3 linked regions of the Notamacropus eugenii genome follow. The protein of the gene in region 1 interacts with the protein of each later gene in a pairwise test. Links are inferred from orthologs where the notes say so. Each region holds a gene or a part of one and is shown on either strand. Other genes may lie near its edges.

What was found.
Region 2: the proteins of LDLRAP1 (region 1) and PSD4 interact in binary tests that used the Homo sapiens proteins (3 or more experiments, as listed by UniProt). The two-hybrid records come from large-scale screens. The link is inferred for Notamacropus eugenii from reciprocal best matches to the Homo sapiens genes LDLRAP1 and PSD4.
Region 3: the proteins of LDLRAP1 (region 1) and MAPK8IP3 interact in binary tests that used the Homo sapiens proteins (3 or more experiments, as listed by UniProt). The two-hybrid records come from large-scale screens. The link is inferred for Notamacropus eugenii from reciprocal best matches to the Homo sapiens genes LDLRAP1 and MAPK8IP3.

Annotation. Positions count from the first base shown.
Region 1 is NC_092876.1:66,148,552-66,157,954, reverse strand, and holds the start of LDLRAP1 (low density lipoprotein receptor adapter protein 1), read right to left. Parts: upstream 4,161-9,403; 5' UTR 4,063-4,160; coding exon 3,975-4,062; intron 1-3,974. UniProt on the Homo sapiens protein: Adapter protein (clathrin-associated sorting protein (CLASP)) required for efficient endocytosis of the LDL receptor (LDLR) in polarized cells such as hepatocytes and lymphocytes, but not in non-polarized cells (fibroblasts).
Region 2 is NC_092872.1:717,850,805-717,861,270, reverse strand, and holds the start of PSD4 (PH and SEC7 domain-containing protein 4), read right to left. Parts: upstream 4,022-10,466; 5' UTR 3,775-4,021; intron 3,473-3,774; exon of another isoform or gene 3,108-3,472; intron 1-3,107. UniProt on the Homo sapiens protein: Guanine nucleotide exchange factor for ARF6 and ARL14/ARF7. Through ARL14 activation, controls the movement of MHC class II-containing vesicles along the actin cytoskeleton in dendritic cells. Involved in membrane recycling.
Region 3 is NC_092872.1:48,925,907-48,935,741, reverse strand, and holds the start of MAPK8IP3 (C-Jun-amino-terminal kinase-interacting protein 3), read left to right. Parts: upstream 1-5,928; 5' UTR 5,929-6,079; coding exon 6,080-6,397; intron 6,398-9,835.

The sequences.
Region 1 (9,403 bases):
AGGGTCTTCATCTATAGAATGGGCCCAGTCAGACTCATACTCCCCACCTTACAGGTCCAGGAGGAAAATACTTTACATTAAATTCTACAAAAAGTCTGTTGAATGAACGAACCAAGGCGGCAGTCTCAGTTCTGTAGTATCAGATGACCGGTTGGTTCCTTTTCTTTTTTTTCATTAGATTGTGAGTTTCCAGAAGATAAAGCCTGCCTTTTGCTTCTTTTTTTTTTTAATCCCCAAGGTTTAGCATAATGCCTAGCACATAGAAGGTGACAACATGTATTGATTGACTAACCTTTGAACCCAATCATTTCCTCTCCTCCTCAGGTATAGACACTGTTGTCTCTTCCCCAGTGCCCATGAGAAGAGCCAAAGCAATTAACCAGAGATCCAAGGCCCAGGCCAGGAAGCAAGTGATTAAACAGACAATGGGTACAATCAGGATAACAATTCAGTAAGTATTTATTGGGCATCTACCATATTGTAGGCTCTGTGCCAGGAAAACAAAGTCTCAACCAAAACAGTCTTTCTCCTTAAGGAACTTCCCCTCTACGGTCCTAGGTACACGCAGAATCCAAGTTCTGGCCATGTCACATCACCACAACTACCTTCAAAAACCATCAATGGCTCCCTACTGTCCCTAGGATAACCTAGAATGGCATTTAAAACCCTACACAATCTGGCTCCCTCTTCTACCTCTGCAGACAGTTCATGTTACTTACTCCCTTTCACATTCTCTAAAGCTGAATTGTTCCTCCCCCCACATGACATCTCTCTCCAATTTCCATGCTTTGCCTGGAATGCATTCTCCCAGGCTTAGAATATTTAGTTTCCTTCAAGGCTCAGTGCAAGCAAAGGAGACCCAGGGACAAGTAGCGGCAGAAAAGATGCTGCAGACAGGTCTGATCAAGAAAGAACATGGGAAGCCTGACTTCAGAGGTGTGATGAGGAAACGGGCCTCTCTCCTCTTCCTAACACGGAGAGCTCATCCCAGAGTGGAAAAGGCTGCCTCAGGAGGCAATGGAGCTCCCTGCTGAAGAGGCCTGTGATCGAAAGGGCTTCTTTGGAGGTATAAACTGGATTAAGTGGAGACTGGTGTCCCTTCCAATTCTCAACTTCAGTCTACTGAATTCTCAACTTTTGTGCCTAGTCTGGTAGAAAGTCTGAGAGCCACAGGTCAATGGAGCACTTTGGTAACTGTACTTTGTCACAAGGGTGACAGTGTTTTAAAACGCATCAATTTAAAGAAAAGCATGAGCTCAAGAACTACCAAAAATGGATGGACAGCAGGGTAGGTCCAGGGGAGGAGGCTGTTTCTCTAGTCCAAAAACCCAAGTTCTGAGCCTGGCTCCTTCTAAGGTGACTTCAGGAAACTCATTTTTCTTCCCTGGGCCTCAGTTTCCCCGGCCAGGATTTTGTAAAGGTCTCTTCAACTCTCTAAGTCTGTGATATTATGACACCAGAATGAAGTGGGAGAGAGCAAGAGAGGCAGAAGGAGACAAGAGAGAGACAAGGAGAGAGGGGGAAGATACAAGTATAGATAGAAAGAGGGATGAATGGGGAGAGAGGGAGAGACAGAGAGAGGGAGAGAGACACAGAGGGAGAGATAGAGAGTAAAAGAGAGAGAGGGAGGGAGAGGGAGAGAGAGAGAGACAGAGAGACAGAGACAGACAGAGAAAGAGAGATAGAGACAGAGAGACAGAGAGAAAGACAGAGAGACAGAGAGAGAGACAGAGACAGAGAGAGACAGACAGACAGAGAGAGAGACAGAGAGAGAGAGAGACACAGAGGGAGAGACAGAGAGTAAAAGAGAGAGAGGGAGAGAAGGGGAGAGGGGGAGGGAGGGAGAGGGAGAGAGAGAGACAGAAAGAGAGAGAAAGAGAGAGACAGAGAGACAGACAGAGAGAGATAGAGACAGAGAGAGAGACAGAGAGAAAGACAGAGAGACAGAGACAGAGAGAGACAGAGACAGAGAGAGACAGACAGACAGAGAGAGACAGACAGACAGAGAGAGAGACAGAGAGAGAGAGAGAGCCAGGAACACAAATAATTGAGATAGAGCAAATGAACATCACTAATTCAGTGTTTACCCAGTGGGCACTGTGTACCTGGAATCTGCTAAATACCAAAAGAAGGAGAGGTATGTGTTAGGGGAATTTACAGAGAGAAGCGGACAAGAATGGCAAAAACCTGGGACAAAGAATCCTTAGAAGCTTAATCCCTGGAAGTAGACTCCGTCATGGACCCACGGGAGGAGGGTCATACTCAGAGGCCCCTTCATGCCTTCCTGCTTCTCTCCACACACACTCAGAGGACCTTGGAGAGACAGGTCTGTCCCCCCCACCCTCAGGGAGAAGGAGCTCATTGCCCCCAGCTCCAAAACTGACCACACACATACACATACACACACCCTCCACTATACTTTATTGGATCACAGGGTTTTGAGCTAGAATGATTCTTAAACCATCTAGTCTAATTCTTTCATTTCTCACACAAGGAAACTGACTTATCCAAAGCCACATGAGACTTGAACCCAGGTTTCTCTAACTCCAAATCCAGACCTCTCTGACAGTTTGCTACCTGTGACCCCCTTCACTAAGGTATCAACATCTGGTCCCCCTCTCCCATTTAGAAAACTGACTTCCCCACATACTTACACGTGTGTAGATACACATACACACACACAAACCAAGAGAAAGTGATACCCTCTCTCTGTGTCCCAGCCCCCACAACTCTCCTATCTAGTTCCCTCCCCAAAGCCAGCAGGGGACCATGCACTGCCCATTGGCAGACCAACCCCTGCCTACATACAAATAGCGGCTTTCTGCCAGTTCTCAGAAGTTTGTTTGTAAATCTCACTCCTAAAGGGCCCTGGCCTGGAAGCCAAACAGCCGCTGCAGTTCTTGGGGTGTAAGGTCAAAGGGTGGATAGTCCAAGAGTCCCAACCCGATCAATCAGCCTGCCGCCCCAAGCAGATTTAAGATCCTGGCCTCCTAATCTCTCTCTAGGCTCCCAGGGTTGTGTGGGAGAGGCTAGGATTACCAAGGCCACCCTAGCCTGCTGGCCAGGCCTCTCCTCATCTGTCCCTGGGGCTGCCCCCCTCCCAACTTCTCCAGGAAAGGCAAAACCTCATCGGTCAGTGGTTGTGGGGGCTTCCCTGGACCCCAGGGCTTGACCAAGCCCGACACACTGGGTATGCCCGGAGAAGGCAGCGTCTCCCACCTTGGCCCCCAGATGTGGCCCAATGAGCCAGGTGGAGGCTGGGAGCAGGGCGGTGCTGAGCCTTGGCACCTCAGAAGGCCGGTGCCCCAGGGGGCACACCAGCGCCGGCTGCTGCCAGCTGCAACAAAGGTGTGACGCCAGCGGGGCTCGTGGGGACAGAAGCCCGGGGACGGGGGCTGGGGGTGGGAAGCAGAGACCGAGAGGCTTTAAAAATAGCCCAAAGGCCTCCCCACGCCCCGCAGAAACTGGGCGGGGGAAGGGGATAAAACCACAAGTCCGCTCCCAGCCCCGGTCTCTCGGAGCGCCGGGCAGGGAGGCCACGTATCGCTGCCCCCAACATGCAGGCAAAGAAACTGAGGCCCGGGGGGGGCACCCAATCACACTGCCACAAAGTGCTCGGTGGCGCTGGTCCGGTCTCCAGGGGCTGCCCCCCACGGGCCCCCCGAGTCTGGGTCGGCGGAGGGTGGGAAGGGGGTACCCCAGGACCCCCCAAGCTGCGGGATCGGGAAAGGCTGGGCCCGGTGGGGGCGTGGGGGGGGTCAAGTACTCTCCCGAAAGTGAAGGGCTCCACGCGCGCACACTCACACGCGCACACGTGCACCCCCGAACAGGTGCTGAACCCCGCGCCGTGGCGGGCCCTGACCTCCCCGGCCCGGCCAAACTCTGCCGAACTCCGGGCTGGAGGCCTCCCGCGGGAGCGGGGCGGGGCGGGATGGGGGAGGGGAGGAAGGGGGCGCCGAGGGGCGCACACTCACTCCGGTGCCGCCCGCTGCCTCCCCACGTCTGTTTGGCAATGCTGGGGCTGCGGATGAGCGCCCGGCCCGCCGACTTGAGCGCGTCCATGGCCCGGCTCCGGCCGCCGCCGCCGCCGCCGCCAAAACTCTCCGCTTGGAAAAACTTTTCCGCTGGGGCCCGCGAGGCGCGCCGCCCCCTCCAGGCCCCGCCCCGCCGAGCCCGCCCCGCCCCCTACACCCCCTCGGGCCCCGCCCACACGCGCTCCAAGAGAGGGGCGGGAGGATGCAAATGAGGTCCCGCCCTTCCCTCCCCGGAGCCTACAAGGGCTCCCCGGGGAGGGGCGGGGCTGAAGACGAGAAGGCGGAGCTGATGCAAATAACCTAACGTCACCGACCCGGCCCCCCTCGCAGAGACAAAGAGTGGCAAGGGGCAGGCTGGACTCTGGGCTCTGGACTCTGCCCCAGACCCTGGGAGGCGCCGCCTAGAACCGTCTGGGTTCTCTTGGCTTTCCGAGCACCCGAGCGGGGCGGGGCGGAGCAGGAGAGCTAGCCACCCAGCCTAGTCCCCTTTCTGGTGCCTCGAGGTTCCCGCCGGCCCACGCCGGGGTCCCCCGAACTCCAGCCACGCAGGAGCTGAGCCACACACGAATGGAGGTGGGACAGGGTCGCCCTCCAGGCCCACCTGCTTTCTCTCTGGGCTTGCAGGACCCTAGAGCCAAGGACTGGGCCCCCAGGCTGAGAGATCTGAAAGGGACCTGCTTCATCATCCAAGGCCGGGACTCTGCACCCTGGGTCACTTCCAGGGGGTCCAGGAACTTGGATGTCCCAGAACATGCATCTTTATTTTCGCTAATCTCTAAATGAAATCTAGCATTGCCTATTCTACTGAGATGCCCATAGCTTCCACCAGACTGGCAAAGAGGTCCTTCATCAAATCCAGCCCCCCCCTTACAGATTAGGAAACGGAGGCGGAGGCCAGAGACTGAATTTGAGTTCTGGTCTTCTTGATTCAAAATCCAGCCCTCTGGTGAGGGATCAATCTGGGGCAGGGACCCAGGAATAGAACCCAATAGAAAGGTCTGTTGGAGGTTGAGACCCCATGAAATGCAGAAGCCTGGGCTCTTTTTTAACCTAAGACTGACCCCCACAGCAGGTGTGGGAGGTGACAGCTGGCATTCTTATCTCTAAACAGGCTTCCTGAAGGAGTCAGACATGGAACCTGGCTCATGAAGGAGAACTCTGGCAGAGAACTGACTGGAGAAGCTGGGGGAGCTGTGAGTGAGAAAGGAGCAGGCCCAGCCAGCCTCGGCCATGAGCACCTGCACTATAGCCCAGAGAGCCCACTTCCCCCAAAATAATACTAAACAGCTGAGTCTTCTCCCTTACCCTTTTCATGAAGCCCAACTCTGCCCCTCCCTCCAGATAAGGGATGAGTTTCCCAGCTTCTCCCCTAGCAAGTGAGGGAGGTAGCTAGGTTTCCAGGTGACCCAGGTGAATCATCCACTGGCTCAGACTCAGTCTTAACCCTTCACCTCATGCCCTGCCCTGGGGCTTCTCCTTCCATTGGTTCCACCACACGCTCCTCCTTTCCCCAGCTGTTTCCTTCGCTCTGCCTGAGTCTGAATGACTCCTCTGCTCTCTCCCCAGCTGACTCCTAGCCTGAAAAGGTCCTGTTCTTCCTCAACCACCACGCTCTGCTGGGGTGCGTAGGTGCTTGTACTTGGACCCCAATTCCAAGATCGCATTTCTCCCTAGCTTCCAAACACTATCCCTGACAGTTTTCTGCCCAGCCCAAGGACACTATACCTAGCAATTACACGAGTGGGCCCCAGTAAGACAAACTCTCTTTCCCCATCACAAAAATAAGCTGACCTCCGAAGAAATTCACTTGTAAAAATAGGACTATCTTGTGACCACAGAATTATCATGTATTGATTCCCAAAGTTATATTCAATCCAGAAGTCAAGCTATAGATATCAACTCAAAGTCAAAGACCAAAAATACACCCCTGAGAAACCCCTCCCCCTAGTTTCCAGTAGTGAATGACACCTGTGACCATGGTTATACATTATCACCTAATTAGCACATTTGCCAGATAATCCACTACTTTTCCTATATAAGATTTAGTATCATTCCTGTTAGGTTTCAAGTTCCTTAAGGAGCTCTGTCTGCCACATTGGAATTAAAATAAACCTTTGCCACTTTGACTTAAAGAATGCTTGAGTCTGTAAATTCATTCCTGAGAACCCTGTCCAGTACGTCCATCCTTGAGGGGTCCCTGAACCCCTTAAAACTGCATCAGCTCTACCTTCTTCCTGGCCTCCATTCCACTCAGGCTCTTCTTCCCAAACTGGGGAAGTCTACTTGTTACTTCTGGGAGGTTTTTTAAGGGATTCCTCATATACCCTACAACATACACCTTAGCTAGAGGGACCTTAGAATCAAGAGTGTCAGAGCTGGGAGGGGCCTTTACATAGCATCCAGATGACCCTGTCATTTTATAGCTGGGAAAACTGAGACCCAGAGAGGGGAAAACACTTGCTGTAGGTCACACAGCTAGAGTCAGAGCTGGTCCCAGAACCCTTTTTGAAAAATTTATTCTTGGAAATATGTTTTGCATGACTGCTCTTGTATAATCTATAGCAAAGTATTTAACTTCTCAAGGAGTGGGGGAGGAAAGGGAGGGAGAGAATTTGGAACTCAAAAATTACAAAAAACAAATGTTAGAAATTGGTTTTCATGTAATTGAGGGGAAAACATTCTTTAAAAAGGAAAAAAAGTTATTCTTAGTAAGGAGTCTCTAAGCTAAACTGGATTAGTGAATAGATTTAGGCTGTAAATTTAATGTTCCAAAGGACTTCGGAGGTCTCTGATAGCTTTTGTAAATACAAAATTAGTAGAGTCCAGCAATATTAGAGTTTCTGGATTGCTCTGTTGTAGAGAATGTGTTCTGATGGTTAAAGAAATATACTAAGAGACAGGAGACTAGGATTCTATTGTCTCTAATACCTCTAAAAATTGTGCAAGTTTGGGCAAGGATAGATTCCTCTCAACATCACTTTCTTCATCTATAAAATGAGTTGGATTAGATAATTCCCCAAGACCCCTCCCAGCTCTGACATTCTGTGTCCTAAGGGCCCTCTCAGCTCTGACATCATGTGTTCTAAGGGCCCTCCCAGCTCTGACATCATGTGTCCTAAGGGCCCTCTCAGCTCTGACATCATGTGTCCTAAGGGCCCTCTCAGCTCTGACATCATGTGTCCTAAGGGCCCTCTCAGCTCTGACATCATGTGTTCTAAGGGCCCTCCCAGCTCTGATATCCTGTCTTCTAAGGGCCCTTCTAGCTCTAGTGTTCTATGTTGTTGGATTCCTTTCAACTACTAATTGTAAAACCCTGGGGAAGTTACTTAATCTCCCTTCCTCAGTTTTTCCCATCTGTACCATGGGGATCCTAATAGCACCTACCTTGCAGAGTTGTCCTGAGGATCACATGAAGGTAACATATTTACAGAATTTTTCAAACCTGAAAGTACTAACTGGAGATTAGTTACTATTACATGTTCTACATTCTTTCATTCCAACTCTAATTCACTCTTGATCATACTTGGTTAGGCCCATTCCAGCTCCTTGCCTCCATGAGAGCTGAGGCAGGTACCTGAAAGCTAACACCTAACAGTTGTTTATCTGAGCTGGGTGATGCCAGCTAGGGCCAAGGGACCTCTCTGTCTAGGATATAGAAGGGACAGTTTTTTTGAGGGCAGTGATTCTGCATTTCTTCTCATCCCTCTACACAGGAGTTATCCCCATGGCCTCCCTAGGGCTGGGCCACACCCTGCAACCCCCAGACGCAAGGAAGGCCTCCCTTGATTCAACAAGCTGAGTCAGCATGAGGAGGGTTGGCCTCCACCCAAGGAATTTTTCATTTTTTCTCATTTGCAGCCTGTAGCCTCCACCTCCCTGGAACTTTTAAACACAAAACCGCCTTCCATGGTTCCCCATAACTCCCTGTTTCAAATGGTTTAGAATGTGGCTTCCTCCTCCCCCTCTGGATGGAGCCTTTAAAGATCCCAAAGATGATGTAGTAGACAGAGAACTGGCTTTGGAGTCAGAAAAACCTGAGTCTGAATCCTCAGATACATATTAGTTTCATAATCCTGGATACACTCACACACACACACACACAGAGATCACATACACACCCCAAAAAGAAAAAAACAAAACAAAACCTCTCTGTGCCTCAGTTTCCTTACCTGTAAAAGTGCTGGTTCTGATGGCCTCTAAGTGTTCTTCTAGCTCAGAGGCAGCTAAGTGGCTCAGAGGATAAAGTGTTTACCCTGGAATCAGGAAGACCTGAGTTCAAATGTGACCTCAGATACTACCTGTGTGACCCTGGACAAGTCACATCATTTCTGCCTGTTTCCTCAACTGTTAAATGGGGACCCATAATAACCTGTATCTCCCAAGATTGTTGGAAGAACCAAATAAGATAATACATGTAAAGCACGTAGGATAGTGCTTCACACATAGCTGATGCTATATAAATGTTTATTCCCAACTCTAAATCAATAAAGACTATGTATAGGACACACTGCACAGCAACGGTGTCACACTCAGCTAGAAACAGGGGTCACTAAACAGAAGGATTCCTACTGTCCGTGTAGTGACTTAGAAAACTCCATATTAATATTATCTATATTCTATTGCACTTTCATTTATTTTGTTAAATATTTCCTGGTTGCATTTTAATCTGGCTGTTGTGTTTCATACCTCCGCTGTACAGTACCCATATCCTATATGTCACAATACTAATAACTACTGGTAAGAGGGTTGAAGATTTGTCTAGTACTTGAACCAGCTAATCAAGTATTCCTAAAGCACCTACTATGTACCATTTGCTGGAGAGATGGACAAAAAAGAAGCCGTCTCTGCCCTCAAGGAGTTGACATTCTCTTGGAGAAACTACATACACAGAGAAGACGGTTTAAAGCATGTACAAGATAATTTAGAGAGAGAGAAGGTGCCAGCACCTGGAGTAATCAGGAAAGGCTTCCTATTGGAGATGACGTTTGAGTTGAACTTTCTCCCCGTTACTCCATTTGCTCCTTACCATGTGAGGAAGGTGCCACTAATATTATCACCACTCTGCAGATCAGGAAAAATGAGGCATAGAAAGGTTAAGTGATTTGCCCAAAGTCAAATAGCTGGAGTCAAACACAAGATCAGAGGCCAGGTGTAAGGCCCTGGCTCCTTGTGTGGCGTGAAGGCAATTTTAGTAGTTGGGACTTCCCAGGGTGGCAGATAAGGCCCACCCAGGGTGAAGGTGCCAAGATTACTCCATTTCTGCCTCTGACTTCTGCCTGCATTTGAACAAGGGCTCCATTGTTCCAGAGAAGGTCTGCTGAGACCATCCATCTTCTCCTTCACCAGGAAGGACACACTGTTCTGGATGG
Region 2 (10,466 bases), on another chromosome or scaffold:
TATGCAGCAATATGGAAGTGAGAGTTCTTCTGCACCATGCTGGATAGATCATGTTGGAATATTGTGTCCTGTTATGGACTTCACATTTTAGGAAGAATGATGATAAGCTAGAGAAGGTGGGGAGGAAGGGATTCAGGATGGTGAAGCGCCTCAAGTTTATGCCGTGTAGGGTGAGTTGAACTGGAGACATTTACCCTGGAGAAGAGAGAACTCTGGGAAGCATGATCCAGTATTTGAAAGGATGTTTTATAGAGAGAAAGAACTTTCCCATTGGGCAGAATGAGGAGAAGTGTGTAAACGTGACAAAGGACCAGGTTAGAATGGGAAACACTTTGCATTAATTAAAGATGTCCAAAAGCCAGCTGGGCCTCTAGGAAAGCTGTGGATTCTCCTTATCAGAGGTGTTCCAGCAGAGACTCGATGATCGTTTACTCAGGGAATTGTCATGCGAATTCCTTTTTGGATCTGGCTTAGAGTATATGGCTGCTGAGTTTCCTTCCAAATCTGAAATTCTTCAACTCTCTAATCGCTAAGACAGTGATTCTCAGATGATGGTCTGTGGAAGAGACCTTTTCAGGGTTCACTGTCAAAACTATTTTTATAATAATATTAAGATATTTTAATTTCTCAATACTGATGGATATAAACCACATAAAAAGGGCAATTGGGTGGAGCCATAGCCCATAGAGCACTGGGCTTAGAATGAGGAAGACATCTTTCTAAGTTCAAATCTAGCCTCAGACACTTACTAGTTGTATGACCCTAGGCAAGTCACTTCACCCTGTTTGCCTCAGTTTCCCCATCTGTAACATGAACTGGAGAAGGAAATGACAAACACTCCTTGTATCCTTGTCAAAAAATAAAAACCAAACCCAAAATAGGATCACAAAGAAGCAAACACGGCTGAGATGACTGAACAACAACAAACCCCACATAAACAAAAGCTCTTTGGGTGGTCCTCAATAATATTTAAGAGAGTAAAGGGGTCCTGAAATGCTCTGAGATCCCTTTCTAGCTCTAGAGTTCCAAAAACTTATGAGAAAGTTTTTTGAATAAATGCTTCCTATTTCCTGGACTGTCAGTTCCACAAAGGGAAGGACCATGCCTTTGCAGTATCCTCCCTCAGCATCTTGCACAAAATTAATTCTATCTCTGTTGAGCAAATGAATGAACCTGGTTGGCCTAACCCTGCCCTGGTACATTATGACAGGGGCTGAGGCCATATCCTTGAAATGTTCTTAACTACGTCCACAGTATCATGGGACCCCAAAGACATTCAATTAATCATATGTTACATTCAATCAGTTCTGGGCTAGCTTGCTCAACTGATTCAAGCAGTGGGTTAATGAGGTCAAGGTCACAGGCCTGATCCCTGGGTGGGCCACTCAGTTGTCCTCTGTCTCACCACCATGTGCTTAGTTCCTCACCTTAGCCAGTTGTCATGACCACACATGCCTTTGGTCACAAGAGGAACTGGATGAAAGAACAGAGAGAATGTAGAGAGAATACAGTACCATTCCATTCCCCAAACTGGAAAAACCACTCAAAGCCTATGTATCCTACCATGTACACCAAGAATCACAGGATCCCCAGGATTCTGGAGCTGGGGACTGGAAAGGGTATGGACTCCTCATTCAGGTCCTGCCTCTGACATTTTGTACCTGCTGGAAATTGGATAAATCCCTCAACTTCTTCAACTTCATTTACTTCTCTGTAAAAAGGGCAGCTAGGTGGTACAGTGAATAGAATGCCAGGCCTGCAGTCAGGAAGACTCATCTCCCCAGGTTCAAATCTGGCCTCAGATACTTCCTAGCTGTGTGACCCTTGGTAAGTCACTTAACCCTGATCATATCTGTTTCCTCTTTTGTCAAATAAGCTGGAGAAGAAAATGGCAAACCTCTCCAGTGTCTCTCCCGAGAAAACCCCAAATGGGATCATGATTGCAAACGACTGAACAAACAAAAAGAGGGATTGGGATGAGATGACCGCTGATATCTCTAGGAGCTCCAAATTTATGATCCTAATTTTGCTTCATCACCAAAAAGACGAGGAACCTTAAGAATCATCACCATTGTCACAATAGCTAGCACTAAGTGCTTTAAGGTTTGCAAAGAGCTTTACAAATTAGATCTCATTTTATTCTCACAACAACTGCTATTATGATCCCCATTAAACAGCAGCTGAGACAGTTTAAGGTTAAGTGACTTGCTCAGGGTCACACAGCTAGTAAATTTCTGATGGGAACCTCACTCTTTCTGACTCCAATTCCTGTTTCCTATCCACTGTGTCACCTGGCTTAAATTTTAGAGTTGGGAGCACCCTTCAATATGATTTCAATTAAAACAAAGCACTTGCTTTCCTAGAAATGTCAGTGTTGCCCACTAGGCCAAGATTTAAAAAATTAGAAAGCAGAAATCCAAGTGAAGAAGATGTGGTGCATATGAGAATCTTTCTTTCCAGAGATTGCTTCCCAATTCCTTAACTTATTCTTTTTTTTCTGTCTCTGGAATTCAGGTGCTACCCCAGCAAAGAGGAGAGCATTAGCTCATGATTGATATTGTTTGTGCTGTTAGTAATCATTGTATGTATACAGTGCTGTAAGGGTATGACAAGATCTTATTTGACATATCCTAGGTAAGAACAAGAAAAAAATGAGTTCCAGTGACTTGTCTAAGGTCATACAGCTGCTAAGTGGTGGATTTGGGACTTAGCACTGGTCTTCTGATTCCAAAACCAACTTTCTATAATGTAATGCTCTTTCTAGAAGTTTGATTGCATTGTAGGTATTGAGAGAGGAAAGTATGAACCAATCCATAGAGTGCTGGAGCTGGAGTCGGGAAGACCTGAGTTCAAATCCGTATTCAGACACTTAAGGGCTGTGTGACACTGGGTAAGCCATTTAATCTCATCTACCTTAGTTTCCTAAACTATAAAATAAGGATAATAACAGTACCTATCTCCCAGGATTGCTGTGAGGATCAAATGGGATAATATTGGAAAGCACTTGGCACAGTGTACGCACACAGTAGGTGCTATTTAAATGCTTATTCCCTTTCCCCTAAACAAAGTGAAATGACATTAAGTAGTAGTTTTAAGGCTCAAGATACCTGCACGTGGTCCTTCCTTTTGATATTCAGTAACTTCAGCTAAATTTCTCCTCTTGCCCTTTCCCACCTTCTTCCGCCTCTCGATTTGAATCCTCCACAAAATGCACAGGGAAACCACACAGACTTCCGACACATGTCACCTTGGACAAGTCACTTAACCCAATATGCAGGGGCAGGAGACCTGAGGCCAAGTCTCTTCAGCACCAACAAGGTGACGCTGAGGAGTTACCCGATCCCCTTGTTAATCCTCGTTGCGTTGGACCTAGATCTCCCAAAGCAGGCAGAGCCAGAAGCCCCTGCTCGGAGTGACAGCTCATTACCACTGCCCGTCTGGGTGCTTGCTGGAGAGCTCCCGCTGCTGCCCGCTCGCCCTCCTCTCTCCCAGCCCTACTCCAGCGTCCTCACCCCAGTCCTCTGGAGTTCCTGAAGCTGACCTCGTTCCAGCGTGACTCCCCCACCCCGCCCCCATCTCCCGGCAAACAGCCGGGCCAGATTCTTCCATTCATTTCCTGAGCGTGGCATGAGGCTGGGAGGAGACCGGGGCGCAGAGGGGGCCCTTCTCTCGGCTCAGCCCTCTCCTGTCTCCCTCCATGGTAGTCCTCTCTTCCTCTCCTCCCCTCCGCTGCCCTCCCAGGGACCTCAGCGGGGCAGGTTACAGTCCCCTTACCCATTTCCTCCTGGCCTCTGCTGGAGGCTCCTACTCTCTCCAGGTACCAGCCCAGCTGCTCCCCCATGGCTCCACGCCCAGCTCTGGGCCAGGGAGGGGGGCAGAGCTTCGGGCTTAGGGAGGGGTCTCAGCCAGGCCTCTGCCCACAGAACTCTCCAGGGCTCCCAGGAGACTGCTTTCCAGCATACCGAATGCAAGACAGAACCGGCAGGAGCCGCAGGAGAGGGGAGCACAGCTGAAGCTCGTCCGACCGGTTAGACAGCTGCCGTCATCCTCCCGGGGGCATGGGGCTGGGGTTGGGGCGTGCCCTTCGCGCCGTGCCAAGCCGCTCCTCTCGAAAGAGGACTGCTCGGGTCACGGCCAGCCAGGGCAGTGCCCGTAGCCCCAGGCACGCCTTCCTGGAGGTCGAGCTCAGGACTGGGGCTGTGGACCCCTTCCCCTTCCCCACCTCCCTCACTTCCGTTTAGTACCTGACCAAAAGGGACCTAAAAGTCTCTGGCCTGGATCGCTATACATATATTCTGTTGGAACAGTAAAAAGATGACTGCATCTGGTTTCAGACACTTACTAGCTGTGTGACCTTGGGCAAGTCACTTAGATCGCTACTTGCCTCAGTTTCCTCTTTTGTAAAATGCGGAACTAGACTACACTGTCTCTAAAATCCCTTCTGGCTCTATGATCTTATGATTCCATAAAGGTTCTGGGCTTCCAATTTCCTTGTCTATAAAATGAAGGGAGTGGACAGGATGACCTCTGATCTCATTCTCAACTCCTAATCTATGACCTCCCTGCTGCTTAGCATGGAACGGCAGCCTAGCCCAGCAGAGAGATCACTCTCTCCAGGTTAAGGAACTGAGTTCAAAGCCTGCTCAGATACCTGTGACCTAAGTCATTCATGTAATGGGTCAGGCCATGCATGCAATCTCCCTGGGCCCTGTTTCTTCATATGTGAAATGAAGCGTTTGGGCTAGGGGAATGGCCTCTGAAATCCCTTCCAGCTCTAGAGTTTCTAGCTGTGAGACCCTGGGCAAGTCCCTTAACCATTGCCTGCCTCAGTTTCCTAATCTGTAAAATGGGGATAGTTATAACAACACGGTTATAGGTTATAGCAAACCAAGGTTGCTGTGAGCATCAAATGAGAGAATATTTGTAAAGCGATTAGGAAGATGCCTGGCACATAGTAGGTGCTGTATAAGTGTAAGTATTGTTATTTAATATAGCAGTTATTTTCAACCTTCTTCAAGGTCTTTCATCCCCTGGCCTACTGAACGTCCAGATTCTGGCAAATAACTTAGGGAGGCAGTTGGTGAAAGTGGAATGAGACCCAGAATAGGAGTCAGGAGAGTTGGCTTTTAATTCTGACCCTCTGCTTCTAACTAGCTTTGTGCCTGAAAGCACACAACTTCACTCCTCTCTTCCTTTAAACGTTCCTTTCCTAGATTGCAGATTGAGTTTTGGACATGCTGCGTTTGAGATGTCTCTGGGATATGCAGATGGGGATCACCGACAAGAAGTTGGAAAAGGAATATATGTGTAGGCAGGGATGAGACTCCGCTGGGTGGGCAGAGTGAGGGACTGGGCTAGGCCCAGGGAATTATATAACATTGTTCCGATTTAAACTGTTTTTTCGAAGCTGTGTGTTAAGCTGAAGCTCTCTAGAGCAAAGAGTCTTAATCCAGGATCTGTGGGTTTGTTTTATTTTTTAAAAAATCTTTTGATAACTATGTTTCAGCATAATTCATTTCCTTTATAATCCTCTGTATTTTATTTTATGCAGCTAAGAAATGTCATTTATGCTGAGAAGGCATTGACTTCTCCAGACTGCCAGAGCAGCCCATGGTACAAGTTAAGAACTCCATGACTAGACAATCTCTAAGATCCCTTCCAGCAATAAAACTCTGACTCTATACTTTTATACTGAGGAAACTGAGTCAGATACAAACTCTCTTGTTGAGGGCAGCTAGGTGGTGCAGCGGATTAAATGTGTGACTTGGAGCCAGGAAGACCTGAGTTCCAATCCTGCCTCAGACCACAGAAATATGGCCCTGGGTAAGTCACTTAAGTGCTGTCTGCCTTGGTGTCCTCATCTCTGAAATGGGCATAATGATAGTACTGATCTGCCAGAGTGGTAGTGAGGATCAAATGAGATATGTATTAAGTGCTTTCCAACCCTTAAAGTGCTATAGATGTGTTAGCTCTTATTATCTTCCTTTCTTTCCATTTCAGAATAATTTTTCTACTGTAACAATTTAACAAACATTTCTTAAGTACCTACTATGTGCAAAGGACTGCCTTTTGCCTTTCTTTGTATCTTCAGTCCTTAGCTCAGTGCCTTATACATAATGTTGCATTAAGTGCGTGTTGTTGGGTCATTTCAGTTACGTCTGACCCTCCATGACCCTATTTTGGGGTTTTCTTGACAAAGACACTGGACTGGTTTATCATTTCCCTCTCCATCTCATTTTACAGATGAGGAAATGGAGGCAAACAGGTTTGAGTGACTTGTCCAGGGTCACACAACTGATATGTGTCTAAAGGCAGATTTGAATTTAGGTCCTCCGGACTCCAGGGTTGTCCGCTGTACCACTCAGCTCCCCCTAGGGGCTTAATAAATGTTTACTAACTGACTGCAGGGCACTGTGTTAGTCCTTGGTAATATAAAGACATAAATGAAGCAAACCCTGCCTAGCAGGGGCTTACATTGTCCCAAGAGGATAGAACACGTATAATGCGTTCGTCCTTCATTGCTGAAGAAGACTATGCCATCAGAGAAATAATGACATGACTCGCACTTGACTTTTTGTTTTTTGAGTGAGGGAGGGCTGTGCAGGTCACCAGCCTCACTTCTCCTCCAGAGCCATCTGAATCCACAATGTTAGTTTAGTAGTCACTTAAATCTGAACTCTTTCTTCAAATTTCTCTTATTGACTGAAATTTTTATTGCACTATAGTCTATAAAGAGATATTTACAATTTCTATCTTTATGTATTTATTTGTGAGTTCTTTTCTCCTTTCTTTATATAATTTTTTTTAAATAAAGGTACCATAGAAAGTTGAAAAATAGATTGGCTCTATATGGTTCCCATACAGGAATCACCAAAGTATCTATCTAATTTTCTAGAAATCTGTTTAGGATATTAATTTCTTTGTTTTGTTAGATTTGTCTAGATTTGAAATGGGCTTTGCAATAATTATGGCTTTACTATCTAGATCTCTCTGTGATTCAGTCAGCTTTTCCTTTAAACAGAATAATGCTGTGCCATATATGGATATGGGTGTGCATGTATATATACATATTTTACATATAAATACACATATGTATGTATGTATACACACATACACATACAGAGGAGCCATCTACTGTCACTTATGGCCAATGTGACTTTGAAAAAGTCAAGTAACACCCTTGGACCTCACCTTCTATATCTGTTAAATGAGGAGATGGATGAGACAGATTCAGAGGTACCTTCTAGCCTTACATTGGTGCTTCTATGATCCTCCAGGCCTGTCTAGGTATCTTCTTAGACCTTGATTACACTTCAGACCTTAGACTCTCTTCTGGAAATATGCTGGGTTTCCTGACTCACATTTCACCCACATCCTTTCAGATTCCTTTTCTTTGCTTTTCCTCCATAACTTCTAACATCGCAGTGAACTACATTATCTTTTCTATACTGAGATATAATATAATATAACATAACAATATAACATAACATCAGGTAAGATCAGGTAACATAATGTAACAATGTAACAATGTAACATAGCAATGTAACATAATATAATATAATGCAATACAATTCAGTTCAATATAATTTAATATGATGTAATTATATGTAACACAATAATATACAACAGTAAGATTATTATTCAAGCTAAATCCACATTGCAAATACTCACTACTGAGTGAGTTATTAGTTAATCACATTATCCTGCAAGACCCAGTTCCCATGGCCTGAGGCATTTATTGTGCTTATCAGTGATTTGGAGCTTATCACTACTACCTTGCACTTTGAATCATCTTTTAATGCTTCAGTGCACCTAGAATTCCCCTTTCCTATCTCCTCCCCTAAATTAATTCTACCTGTTGAAATCCTCTAAGTCCTTCAAGACCCAGTTCCAATGCTGCCTTCTTTATGGAGTCTTCCTGATTTCATCTTTTCTGATTGGAAATAACTTTTCCTTTCTCAGGTTGTATTCGTACCTTCTATATTCACTTATTTATTGTATTCTATTTTCCATGATCACTCTGAGTTCTAATTACGTATGCCTGAGTCTTATCCCTCCTCTCCCTCAATTATGAACTCCCTGAGGGGAGGGGTTGCACTCAGCTAAGCCAGCTTCTCTACTGGTCTTCCCACGCAGTGATCCCCACAGCTGAAAGTGATCTTCTCAAATTTTCTCAAAACACTTTGCCCCTATTTCTCCTTTGTCCCTGTCCATTCTATCTGGAATTATATCTGTCTGTGTACATGTCATGTCATGTGAGCATCTCAAAGGCAGCTGTGTGTATGTATGTACACACACTCCCATACCCATGTAAACCCATTTTTGTACACACACATGTGCATACATATGCATATAGAGAGATACATATATCTAAACCCATATATAAATATACACATAATATATAGGAGTGTATACTTATACACATACATGCACACACATATACATATATACATATGTGTATGCATATACATATATATGTATGTGTATATATATGTATATATGTATACTTATAGGTAACCCCAAATAGAATTGGTCCATGAATTTGTCTTTAAAAATATATACATTGATGACTATTCACTGTAATTGGATTCTTATGTTATTGTTTGCATTTTATTTTATGTTTTTAATGTTATTATTCCATTTGAGAAGGAGTCCAGAGGCTTCGTCACACTCCAAAAGTCTCATGAAGCTGTAAGATTAAAAACCTTTGATGTAGGATCCTTTCTGAGTGGTAAATATAAATCCAGGATTTGTGAAACTGTTCTTCAAGGAAAGCCTGCCCCCTGGTGGAAATTGATTTCATTGCTTCTCTGAAATCCCTTCAAAGCCTGAGTTGAAATTTGCTAAAGTTAACCCAGCTAAGAGAGTCACTTCACTTTTTTGGTGAGAGCTGAATTTTATGCCAAAAATATCTAAATTAGCTTTTTGGTAACATGGAATTCCTTTTCTCACCAGTCTCTTGATAAGATACACTTAGTGTTTTTATAATGCATTCAGCACCATACGACACCTATTATGAATGCGAACTGACTCTTAGGCTGTAACTAGGACAGGGCAAATAAGACTTTGCCCTACACCAATATCCCGCTCTCCACCACCACCACCACCCCCTCCACTACCCCCACCCCTCACCCCACCCCCATCCCACCATGGTAACCACCATTGGGAGGAAATGAGGATAAGGACCTACTATGTGCCCAGTACATACAAGTAATAAGCATTTTTACATCTTACAACTGAGGAAACCGTGGTGAACAGAGGTTAAGTGACACTCCAAGGTCACACAGCTAGGAAGTGTCTGAGGCCATATTTGAACTCAGGTCTTCCTAACTCCAGACCCAGGGCTCTATTCACTAGGCCACCTAGTTTCTACAATTTGTTTATGATGTCATCTTTCATGTCTAAATCAAATATCCAGCTTGCCGTGGTATACAGTGAGAAATATTGTGGATATCTAATGTCTACCAGATTGCTTTCCAGTTTTCCCAGCAGTTTTTATTGGAAGAGTTTTATCTCCACACACTTTTATCAATATAAGAGAAAAATGACATCTCAAGAAATTAGAATGCTGCTAAATATACTGCAAAAACAATAAACACGTAAGTATAAATTTGAAAATTAAAGAAGATCTAAACAAAATTGAAAACAAAAGCCGCCCCATCAATACAACTGTGAAATTAACAAAAGTAACCAATAAATAACTGAAGTTGTAGCTACTTTGGTACATAAAAGGAGAAAACAAAATTAGAATACTTAAGAAATCGAAAAAGAATTCATAACAGATGCAGAAGAATAAAGTAATTTGCTGAAAACTATTTTGCCCAATTATACTCTAACAAATCTGAAAATGAATACAATGGATTACAATAAAAATATAACATCCGTATTGATAGAGAAATAAAGATTTTGATTTCTCCTCAGCCATAAGAAGGAAAGAATTGTTAGGGGTAGGGATAGGGGTGGGAGTCATGGGGCTGATTAAGTACTTTCTTTGTGACTTGGGGACCATCCTATGTCAGGCCCCCCCAATGCAACTGCAGTGCTTCTGTCTGAATACACCTCCCCAACCCCAAGAAATGGCAGACATTGATTATTAATGGTCCCAGATCTTTACAGCCTCTCTCTTCTGCCTTTTTCCCTCAAGGTAGAATATATTGTGTGGAAGTCATTTGGTATCATATTGGTCTCCAATACTGGCTATGCTTTTTCCATTATCTCCAGGACACTGCAGTCATTAGTTGCCTCAAATTCTCTAGAGAGCTTTAACCCTGTTTTTTGTGTAAGAGAAACTGAGGATTGGAGCCAGAAAGGAGAGGGTGTTGGAAATCAGATCCTGCCAACCTCAGTTGCCTTCCTCACTCCCTCTCTGCCCTAGGACTAGGAAAAGATTCATATACGAGAAGCCAATGTGATGAGTTTTTCAAGGTTTTATTGAACTGATGCAGTAGGTCACAAGACATACAAAA
Region 3 (9,835 bases), on another chromosome or scaffold:
TCTACTTCATGCTTCTTTTTGAGCCCAAGTATCGTTCTTTCCAGTAGACTCTTAATGAAGTATGACTCCTGTTTTATGTGTAACATCAGGATGTTACTATATCAAATTCAATTCTGCAAGAAAATGAAAAGGCATTTATTGGAGCTGAAGTAAATTTGTGTGTTGAGAAAAGGCATACAGCATTAAAGGTGGCTGTTTAATGTTGATCCCCACCCTCCTTGTCATTTAAGTGTCTTAGAATGTTTTAACAAGAGTCACGTGTCCAATGGAGCATTTAAGTTTCCCCTCAGGAATGAGCTTTCTGAATTTTGTTTCCTGAATTGTTAGATTATATTTCACAATTGAATTCCTTGCAGTATAACTGGCTGTTGAGAATTGCCCTCTAATTTTCCTCCTCAAAATCTCATGGAGATGTTACTATTTCTTCTGTTGATCAGCTCATGTGAATTGTATGTATGTGCTATGATCTTGCTAATGTTGTGTTTAAAACTTACATGATAAACATACTCACGTTTGGGTAACAACATTGACAACTGAAGTTTGAAATGGTCATACTCAATGCCTTTGCATCCTCCTTAGGTGCTATTATCAATCAACAAGTATTTTGCCTACTTTTTAACAAGTGTGCTGCTAGGGACTGGGGATACAGGTGCAAAGAAAGAAACAATCCCTACTCAAAAGGAGCTGAATTCCCACTTAGAAAAGTTGGAGGGAAGTGGGGGGGGGGGGGGGGAGGGTGTGGAGCAGGAGTTGAGCTAAGGTACGGTATTTATTTAAAATAGTGTAAAGTGGCATCTTAGTACAGTTTACTTTTTCTCATTCCAGAGGTGTCACAAACATAAGATCCATGATGCTCCCAGTGAAGCCCAACCAGAATAAAATGTAATTGGGAAAGAATTCACAAAATAAATAAAAATATGACATTTTGAAAGTAAGCCAGGTTCTGATTAGTGGGCCCCCCCACCCCCTTTCTGAGTTTGATGCCATTACCTTACACCTTCCCCCCCTTTCCCATTTCCAACACACTAAAGGTGGCAATACTAAAACTAATCTCTGTTCCATTCTTTTATCTCTTACTTTGGTCCTCCATGTAGCATAGAAAAGTTTAGGAAATATTTGTCCATATTTATTCATCAGCAAGTATGTTTTTCAAAATGTGTTGCCAAAAGTTCCATCCTTGGTCCAATTTTTCTTTCATTCTCTACATGAATGAAATATGTTAAATGCATTCTGTGAGTCAGACATGGTGCTAGTCACTGAGTATAAGTAAAAGCCCAATTTCCATTCCTTTTTAGGAGGGGGGCAGGGTGAGCTAAGGTAGTAACATATATGAAAGTTTTCTTAAAAAGTGTAAAGCGGCATGTTAGAATTAAATAATCTCCCTTGACAATTTCATTTACTCCCAGTGTCTGAACAATGGCTTACTATGTGCCAGGCACTTTGCTCAGTGCTGAAAAAAGAATGAAACAAATCCCATGGCATTAACATTAATTGGGGAAAAAATATGTACATATAAAACATAAAAAGAATAAATAGAGTCTTGTTAGGGCAAGAGGGCACCAGTGGGAGGGTCAGGAAAGGTTGCTGCTAGGTGGTGTTTCAGTTACTTGAATAAGAGGGGTTCTGAGTCAGGTGAGAAAGGAATGCACTTCAGGTATGGGGGACAGGTAATGCAAGACAGAGAAGTTGGAGTACCATATGTGAGAAATAGAATGCCAGTTTGGTTGGACTCTAAAATGCAGGAAGGGAAGTAATGCGGATAGACTGGAGGTGATTGTGAAGGGCTTTAAAAACCAAAGAAAAATATCGTTTTTGCCAAAGGCAACCGATACTAGAGTTTGAGTAAGATGGCTGATGTGGTACAGGCAGTGTTTAAGTGCTTACTGTGGCCCTGCACCGTGCTAAGGCAAAAAGAAAAAAAAACAGTCCCAGCTCAAAAAGAACTCATAATCTAAGGGAAAGAGACAACATACAAACAACTGTACAAATAAGATGTGTGTGTATATACATGTACTTACACATGTACACTTACATATATATGAAGTAAATTGGAGATAAACAGGAGGTGCTAATAATTTTAAAGGAGAATAGGAAAATCTTCCTGTAGAAGATGAGATTTTAACTGGCACTTGGAAAAAGTCAAGAAGGGCAAATGATAAAGAGGAGGGAGAATGTTCCAGGCATGGAAACAAGAAATGTCTGGCGTCAGGAGGTCTTGTTTAAGGAATGCTATGGAGCCCAGTATCACTGGATCACAAAGTATTATAGGGGGCAGGGGGAATGAGGCATAATAATATTGGAATTGTAGGAAGAGGCCATATTATAGAGGAATCTTTGCCAGAATTTTATGTTTGATCCTAGAGTTGATTGTAATCACTGGAGTTTATTGAATAGGGGGTGACACGGGCAGACCTAGGCTTTAGGAAGATCAGTTGAGAGCCAAATGGAGATTAAACTGGAGTGGAGAAATTTGAGGCAGGAAGACCAAGGTGGAGGCTATTGCTATCACTTCCATAGATGAGGTGATGAGTGCCTGTACTGGGAATGGTGGCAGTGACAGAAGAGAGAATGGTGTGTATAAGATACTGACAACATAATCAAGATGATTTGATTGCATGTGAGGAGTAAGAAAATGGGGTTGAGGTTGACACCTCAATCCTGGGTGACTGGGAGTTTTGTGGATCATGGAGGAATGGGTTTAGATAAATTAGCAACATCTCCTTAGGAGTTAACTTTAGGATGGAGACTTCAAGACATTATGCAGCATGTGTAGCTAGAAAGAGGGCATGGGGGTGGGTGGGAAAAAGTACCCAGGCCCAGACAGATAACTGTTGAAAGAAGATGGATAAAAGGGAAATTTCCTTTTTTTCAAGTAAGCCCCAGGTAGTGGACTGGTGGTAGCAGCATGGCAGAATAGGCCACAGGCCCAATCAGAGAGCAGCAATAGTCCCCAAGCAGGTGACAATAATCCACCTCTCTATGAAGAATCATGTAATTTGGACTCCACATTAGTCATTGCATTGCTACCAAATTGTTTTCACGTTATCTTCATGGTTGCTGGATGGTTATTGTGTATATTTTCCTGGTTTTGCTTTCTCCACTCAGTATCAGTCTATGCAAGTCTTCACATGTATCTCTAAATTCCTATGAATCATTTCTTATGATTCAGTAGTACGCTGTTATATTCCTGTGACACACTGATTGTTTGGCCATTCTCCATTTGATAGGCCTCTACTGGTTTCCAGGTTTTTTGCTACTACAAAAAGTTACTGCTATGAATATTCTCATGGGCTTTTGTTTTTGCTGCTGACCTCCTTGGGTTATATCCCCAGTGTTATGATCTGTGTATGAATCAAAGGACATGAATAGTTTAGTAACTTGAGTAATTACAAAAGAGTTTTAGGGGCCATCTCCAGTCATCCTGATCTTTATCAGGCCACTGGACCCAGATGACTGGAGGAAAAAGTGAGGCTGGTGACTTTGCACAGCCTTCCCTTACTTAAATCCAATTTACTTGCAAGTCATGGCATCATTTTCCTGATGTCATGTTCCTTTTCAGGAATGAAGGACAAACCACAACCACAACAAAGAGTTTTCAAGAAGAGTAATTTACAGTTCTACCATCTGTACATTATTGTGCCTGGTTTCTCACTGCCTTTACAAAGCTGATATTTGTCTTTGCAAACTTGATGAGTATGAGGTGAAGCCTCAGCCTTTTTATTTGCATTTCTTTTATTAGACTTGGAATATTTTTTCCTTAAGTGGTTAGTTTGTAATTATTTTGAAAACTTATTTTGTACGTTGTGTTCTCCTAGCCTCATTTGATTATAAAATCTCACGCTAATTATAGATTTGAAAGGTGCCTCCTGCCAGTCTCTCATTTTCTCTTGGTGACCTCATCAGCTTCCATAGGTTTAATTATGACCTCAATTCAGATGACTCCTAAATCTACACATCCAACCCTAGTTTCCTGAACTCCAATCTTGCATTGCTAACTGCCTATCAAATCTATATTTCTTTTAATTTACTTTGTGTAGTCCAGGGGTGGCGAACCTGTGGCCTTAGGGCCACAAAATAAAAGGGTTTTTTCTATAAAATTTGGATTCGATCAAAAGACTACACTTAAGGATTTTGAAGGTCGCATGTGGCCTTAAGGCTGTAGGTTCCCCACCCCTGTTGTAGTCATTGAATATGTTTTCTTGACTGCTTACATCACTTTGCATCAAATCTTGTAAATCTTTTCCATGGTTTTCTGTATTCATTACATTCATCATTTCTTACAAGCACAGTATAATATTCTGTTCCATTCATATATCACATTTTGTTTAGCCAATCTCCAGTCAGTGGAAATCTGTTTTGTTTCTCATTCTTTGCTAACACAAAAAGGGCTGCTGATAATATTTTGGTGTGTAGGGGGATGTTCTTATCCTATAACCTCACTGGGTATACAAGCCTAGTAGAGGAGTCTCTTGGTCAAAGTCTATGGACATTTTAATCACTTTATTTGCATAATTTATCTTCTTTTGCCTTGGTAACCAGTTGTTACCAAGTCCTATGATTTCTCATTCAACCTTTCTCAAATTCATTCTCACTTCTACCAGTCTAGTATAGGTCCCCATTTTAGCAGACCTTAGCCTCTTTAATCCCTCCTTACCCTGGCAGGTCATCCTGATGAGTATCAGGCCACTGGACCTAGATGGCTCAGGAGAAGAAAGTGAGGTTGGTGACCTTGCACAGCCCTCCCTCACTCAAAGCAAAGTCAGCTGCAAGTCATGCCCTCATCTTGATGTCATGGTCCTCATCTTGATGTCATGGTCCTCATCTTGATGTCATGGTCCTCATCAAGAAGGAAGGACAAACACAACATTTTAACTAGATGCCCTATAGGTATTTCAAACTCAATTTACCCAAGCCAGAATTTATGTTCTAGAAAAATCTACACTTGTAGCCTTCCTGGATGGATGCCTTCATCTTGGTTTGAAACTTTGGAGTCATCCTGCACTCTTTCTTCTTCAGCCCATTGATCTAAGAGTTTCCAGCTCTTAGGAATTTTATGATTAAATCTCCAAAATCTCTCTTAAATCTGCCCTATCTCTTGACTCACATGACCACTCTCCCAGTTCAAGCATTTGTCACCTCTTACAGTGGCCTTAGCATTGGACCCTCCTTTGTCTGATTTCTTCCCTCCATTTTTTAAATCAATCTTCCAAACAGCTTTTCTAAGACATGAGTCTGACCAAGTCCTTGGCTGAATGACGTCACCGCTGGAGTCCAGTTAGAGGCTGGCTGATGGGACCATGAGAGCTTGGGTGGGCGCGAACATCTGGGGTGGATTCTCTGAACGTGACTCTCTGCCCCTTCTCTGGGCTAGGTCCGCTCCGCTTTGCCCGCAGAGCCCAGCCCCTTCCCCGATGTGGGCACGCCATGCGGGGCGGTCCGTGCCGTGTCTCCCGTGTCACACCATCCCGGACCTCCCCAGTAACCTCGAGGAGCTGCGGACTGCCTCCGGGATCAGATGCGCTCTCCATCATTCCCTCCTAGGCCACCCCGACTGTGTGCACCCCTCTGCACCTAACATGGCTGGACCGTAACCCCAAGTACCGCGGCCGCTCCTCATTCCGGCCAGCCCCGCCCCCTCCCTCTGCCCGTCATGGATTCTGTTCTCTGGGGAGTCTGATCCAGAGGCAGAGATTGGGGAGAACGTTTCTAAGGTGACCGGGAGAGAGTCGCACTTCGCCGGAAGTGCTCCGAAAAGACCTCAGGCCAAGCGGCTTCTTGAAGCAGCAGTGCGCATGCTCCCCTTCCTCTCCTTCACGACTTCGGCTCCCCCTAGCGAGGACGTGTCAGCGCACCCGCAGGCGGTTGCCTGGGAGACGTTCGTTTCCCCTTTCTCCAGAGGGGGAGCAGGGGCTTCCGGGAGGTGGGGCGGGACTTCCGGCCGGTGAATGACTGGCAGAGCAGAGCGGCTGCGGCGGCCTCGGGGAAGCGGGGGAGCTGGGCGCACCTAGCCGAGAAGCAGCGGAGCCAGGCCCGGCCGGGAAGGCAGCAGGCCGCGCTGGCGGCGGCAGCGGTAGCCACGATGATGGAGATCCAGATGGACGAGGGCGGCGGGGTGGTGGTGTACCAGGACGACTACTGCTCGGGCTCGGTGATGTCGGAGCGGGTGTCGGGCCTGGCGGGCTCCATCTACCGCGAGTTCGAGCGGCTCATCAGCTGCTACGACGAGGAGGTGGTGAAGGAGCTGATGCCGCTGGTGGTGAACGTGCTGGAGAACCTGGACTCGGTGCTCAGCGAGAACCAGGAGCACGAGGTGGAGCTCGAGCTGCTGCGCGAGGACAACGAGCAGCTGCTCACCCAGTACGAGCGGGAGAAGGCGCTGCGCAAGCAGGCCGAGGAGGTAGGCAGCGAGCCGCGGGCGAGCCCGGGGCCGAGCGGAGCGGGAGGGGCCTGCTCCCCCTCCTTCCCTCCACCCTATTTCATTTCCAGGAACTCGGCTCACCCCCGCCTCCTCCCCCCCGAGCCCCCAAACTCGGCCTCAGGGAGCTTCTGCAGCCTTTCCCTTCTCCCCTGCGGCCACACCCACGGAGGGAAAGGGAGAGGCATCCCTTCTTTGGGTGTCCCTGGCCGAAAGCTCCCTGTGAGAAGCCCGAGGTCACCCTGCTGTCCCCAGCACTTAGCCCAGCCCCACGAGGAATGCCCAAGGTCACACACGTCTTGGTGGCAGCTGCCGGTTGGGCCGCGATCCCTAAATAGAGCCCCCATCCTTGAAGGCCCGGCGTCTTTTCTCAGCCGTCAATCCTGACTTCACATCGGGTTTTGTTTGTTGAGACTGTGTTGCCCAAGCCTGATTACTTCCCTAGACCAGCCTCTACCCGCTGCAGTCAGCCTAAACAGACCCTCTTTGCAGTAGGAAGCCGTCGTTGGGAAGGGCTTTTTCCCTTGTGCCCTCCTGTCCAAGACTTTTATGGTTTTGGGCAGAAGAATCAGTTAAATTGCTTCTAACACGTAATGAGAGCCAAAAGCTCCAAAGCTTCTGTCTCATCTGTTAGGTAAAACTGCTCTTGGTTTCTGTGTGATTGAGGTTACTGCTGAGTTCATCATGCCTTGTTGGTAACTCTTTTGCCCTTTAAGTCACTACATTGGTCAGATTGGGTGCATTTATAGAAAATCCTGGAAAATTCCTGTGTGGTTTTGGAGGGGGCAGAAATAGGATTTTTCTGATCAGGAAATATTTTTGCTCTATAACCTGGAAAACTGCATGTGAACCAATTTAAACAGACATCTAGGCATTTGGAAGAAAGCGATGTATTATTAGAATGCCACTACTCTTGCCCTGCATAGATACATAGTGTATATATATATATACACATAACCCAGCTTGTATGTACATAAATACATAGGTGTTACAGACAAAAGTAAGGTTCTTTATCAAAATAGGAAGCTTCTAAACTCCTTTATGATAAATTTTGTTATCCATGTTCTTATTTGTCCACATGGTGATCCTGATTTAAAGCAGAAATAAGAGAAAGAACTTACAAATTTTTTAAACCATAGCTAGGATGTATTCTTAGTGAGATTCAAGGAATGTTTTGACACACTAAAACCATAAAACAACCCTCTGAATGAACTTAATGTTTACCATAGTGATAGTGATAGGTTTTTTCATCCTTCTGTCAAGCAAGTGTTCTTTAGTTGATGGTGATATCCACCATATTTCTCTAAAATTGATACTAATACTCAGACCTAATGACAATATCTGATAAAGCATCAAACTCATTCTTTACAGGTAGAATACTAAAGATTATACATACATCATAAAATGTTAGAACTGAAAGGGACCTCAGATCGTTTGATCCATTGCCTTCATTTTACAGAGGGGGAATGGAAGACCTGAAAAGTTTATATAACCCACCCAAGGTTGTCACTAGATAGTGGCTAAGCCAGAACTAGAACCATAGCCTTCTGACTCCAGATCCAGGCTGCTTCTCTTATATCACACTACCTCTAGTCAAAATAAGAGTTGTCTTTGAACACAACAAACTTCTGGTCCTGTGTTAGAGTAACTCACTGTTGTACCAAAATCTTATGTTTGTTTCTCTTACCTCCATGATTTTTAAATCTGGTACCCTCAGTATTTCACCCCCACCCCATCTTAGAGAAGAGAAGAAATTATTCCTTTAAGATAAAATTCAAGAAATTTCCTGACTTAAGAGGAGAATAAGTAATCTTACTATGCTATGTTATATAGCATACTATGCTCAGTACTTTATATTTTATCTCATTTGATCCTCACAATAATTCTGTGAAGTAAGAGCTAATATCTTCATTTTATAATTGAGAAAACTGAGGCAGATATAGGTTAAGTCATTTGCCCAGGGTCACACAGATCACAAGTATATGAGGCTGGATTTGAATTTAGGTCTTCCTGACTCCAGGCCCAGTGCTTAATTACCATGGACCTACCTCATGAATTAACATTTTATTGTCAAACTTTCCAATAAATAGACTGGGCAATCTTCCACAATATATGTAATTTTGGGGGGAGTAAGGGGTGGAGTCAAGAACTTAAAAACTCTTTTCTCTAAATCTTTAACTCTTTTACAACCTAAGGAGGGTTGGGACCCTAAAAGGTCAAGTGACTTGCCTGAGGTTGAAGAGCCACTTAATAGAACATCTTGGCTTGGAGTCAGAGAGATCTGAGTTCAAATGTAGCCTCAGACACACAGTTAAGTAAGTGTCATTTAGTCTCTTTCCTTCTCTATTTCTTCATTTGTAAAAAAAAAAAAAAAAGGAGGATAATAATAGCACCTAGTCCCCAAGGGTAGTTGTGGCCATATTTATAAAAAATTTTACAAACCTTAAAGTAATATATGGGGGGTGTGCGCGCATGCGCACATATGTGTATGTATGTGTGTGTGTGTGTATATATATGCATGTGTATATATATATGCATATATATATGCGTGTGTGTGTACTGAAAAATGATGATGATGTGTCAGAGTGCAGATTTATAAATCAGAGCCCAGCCTTGAAACCACTATACCTAGTTACTTTTCTTGCAAGTTACATGCAAACAAACTCAATTCTTTGTTCTTATGATCATTCCCAGATTGTTGTACATGTGTAAATGTGGTCTCTGGGAAAATTCTAGTAGGGACCGACTATCTTCTTGGCTAAAGATTATCAACCAGCTTCTTGTGGAGAAAGATTTGAAGGGGGAATTTTATTGCTACCTCTTCCAACTCATAGAATCTCTAAACCAGTGCTGTAGGTACCTTCCCCCAGCTACAGTACTCAAGAAGGCTTAGTCAGAGGTGGGTAACTTGAGCTGCCTGGGTGTTCCTGAGCTGGGAAGATCTTTCAGTTTTTCAGAGCTAAGCCTTGGACAATACAAGCAAATAGCGCTATTTTCTACCTTCCACCTTTAGTAAGTATAGCCAAAGGAATTCGGAGATCTGCCATCTAAGGGACAGGTCAGTAGGAAATATGTGGCATTTAGGTGGAATCGTTTGTATTGTTTGTTTTTATTCCTCTAAACTGAGAAATGATAACTGAACAAAGGCTTACAAGTTTAAATTGACTTTGTATGAGCTTTGAAAGACATTCAGTGCTTCTATGGTAAAAACAATAATTTCACAACTTTTTGAGCACATCCTTAAATTAAGCATTTTAAAATTGGCTGTTTTGGGATGAAAACATTGGGATGAAGGGACTAGAGTTTTTGCCATTTGTCTCTTCAAATTAGCACACTGTAGTTTTGCCACAATCATCAAGGGTACAGAAAAGTGAATTTCTTTAGAAAACTAAAACAGAAAAGGCCCTAAATCATTAGCGC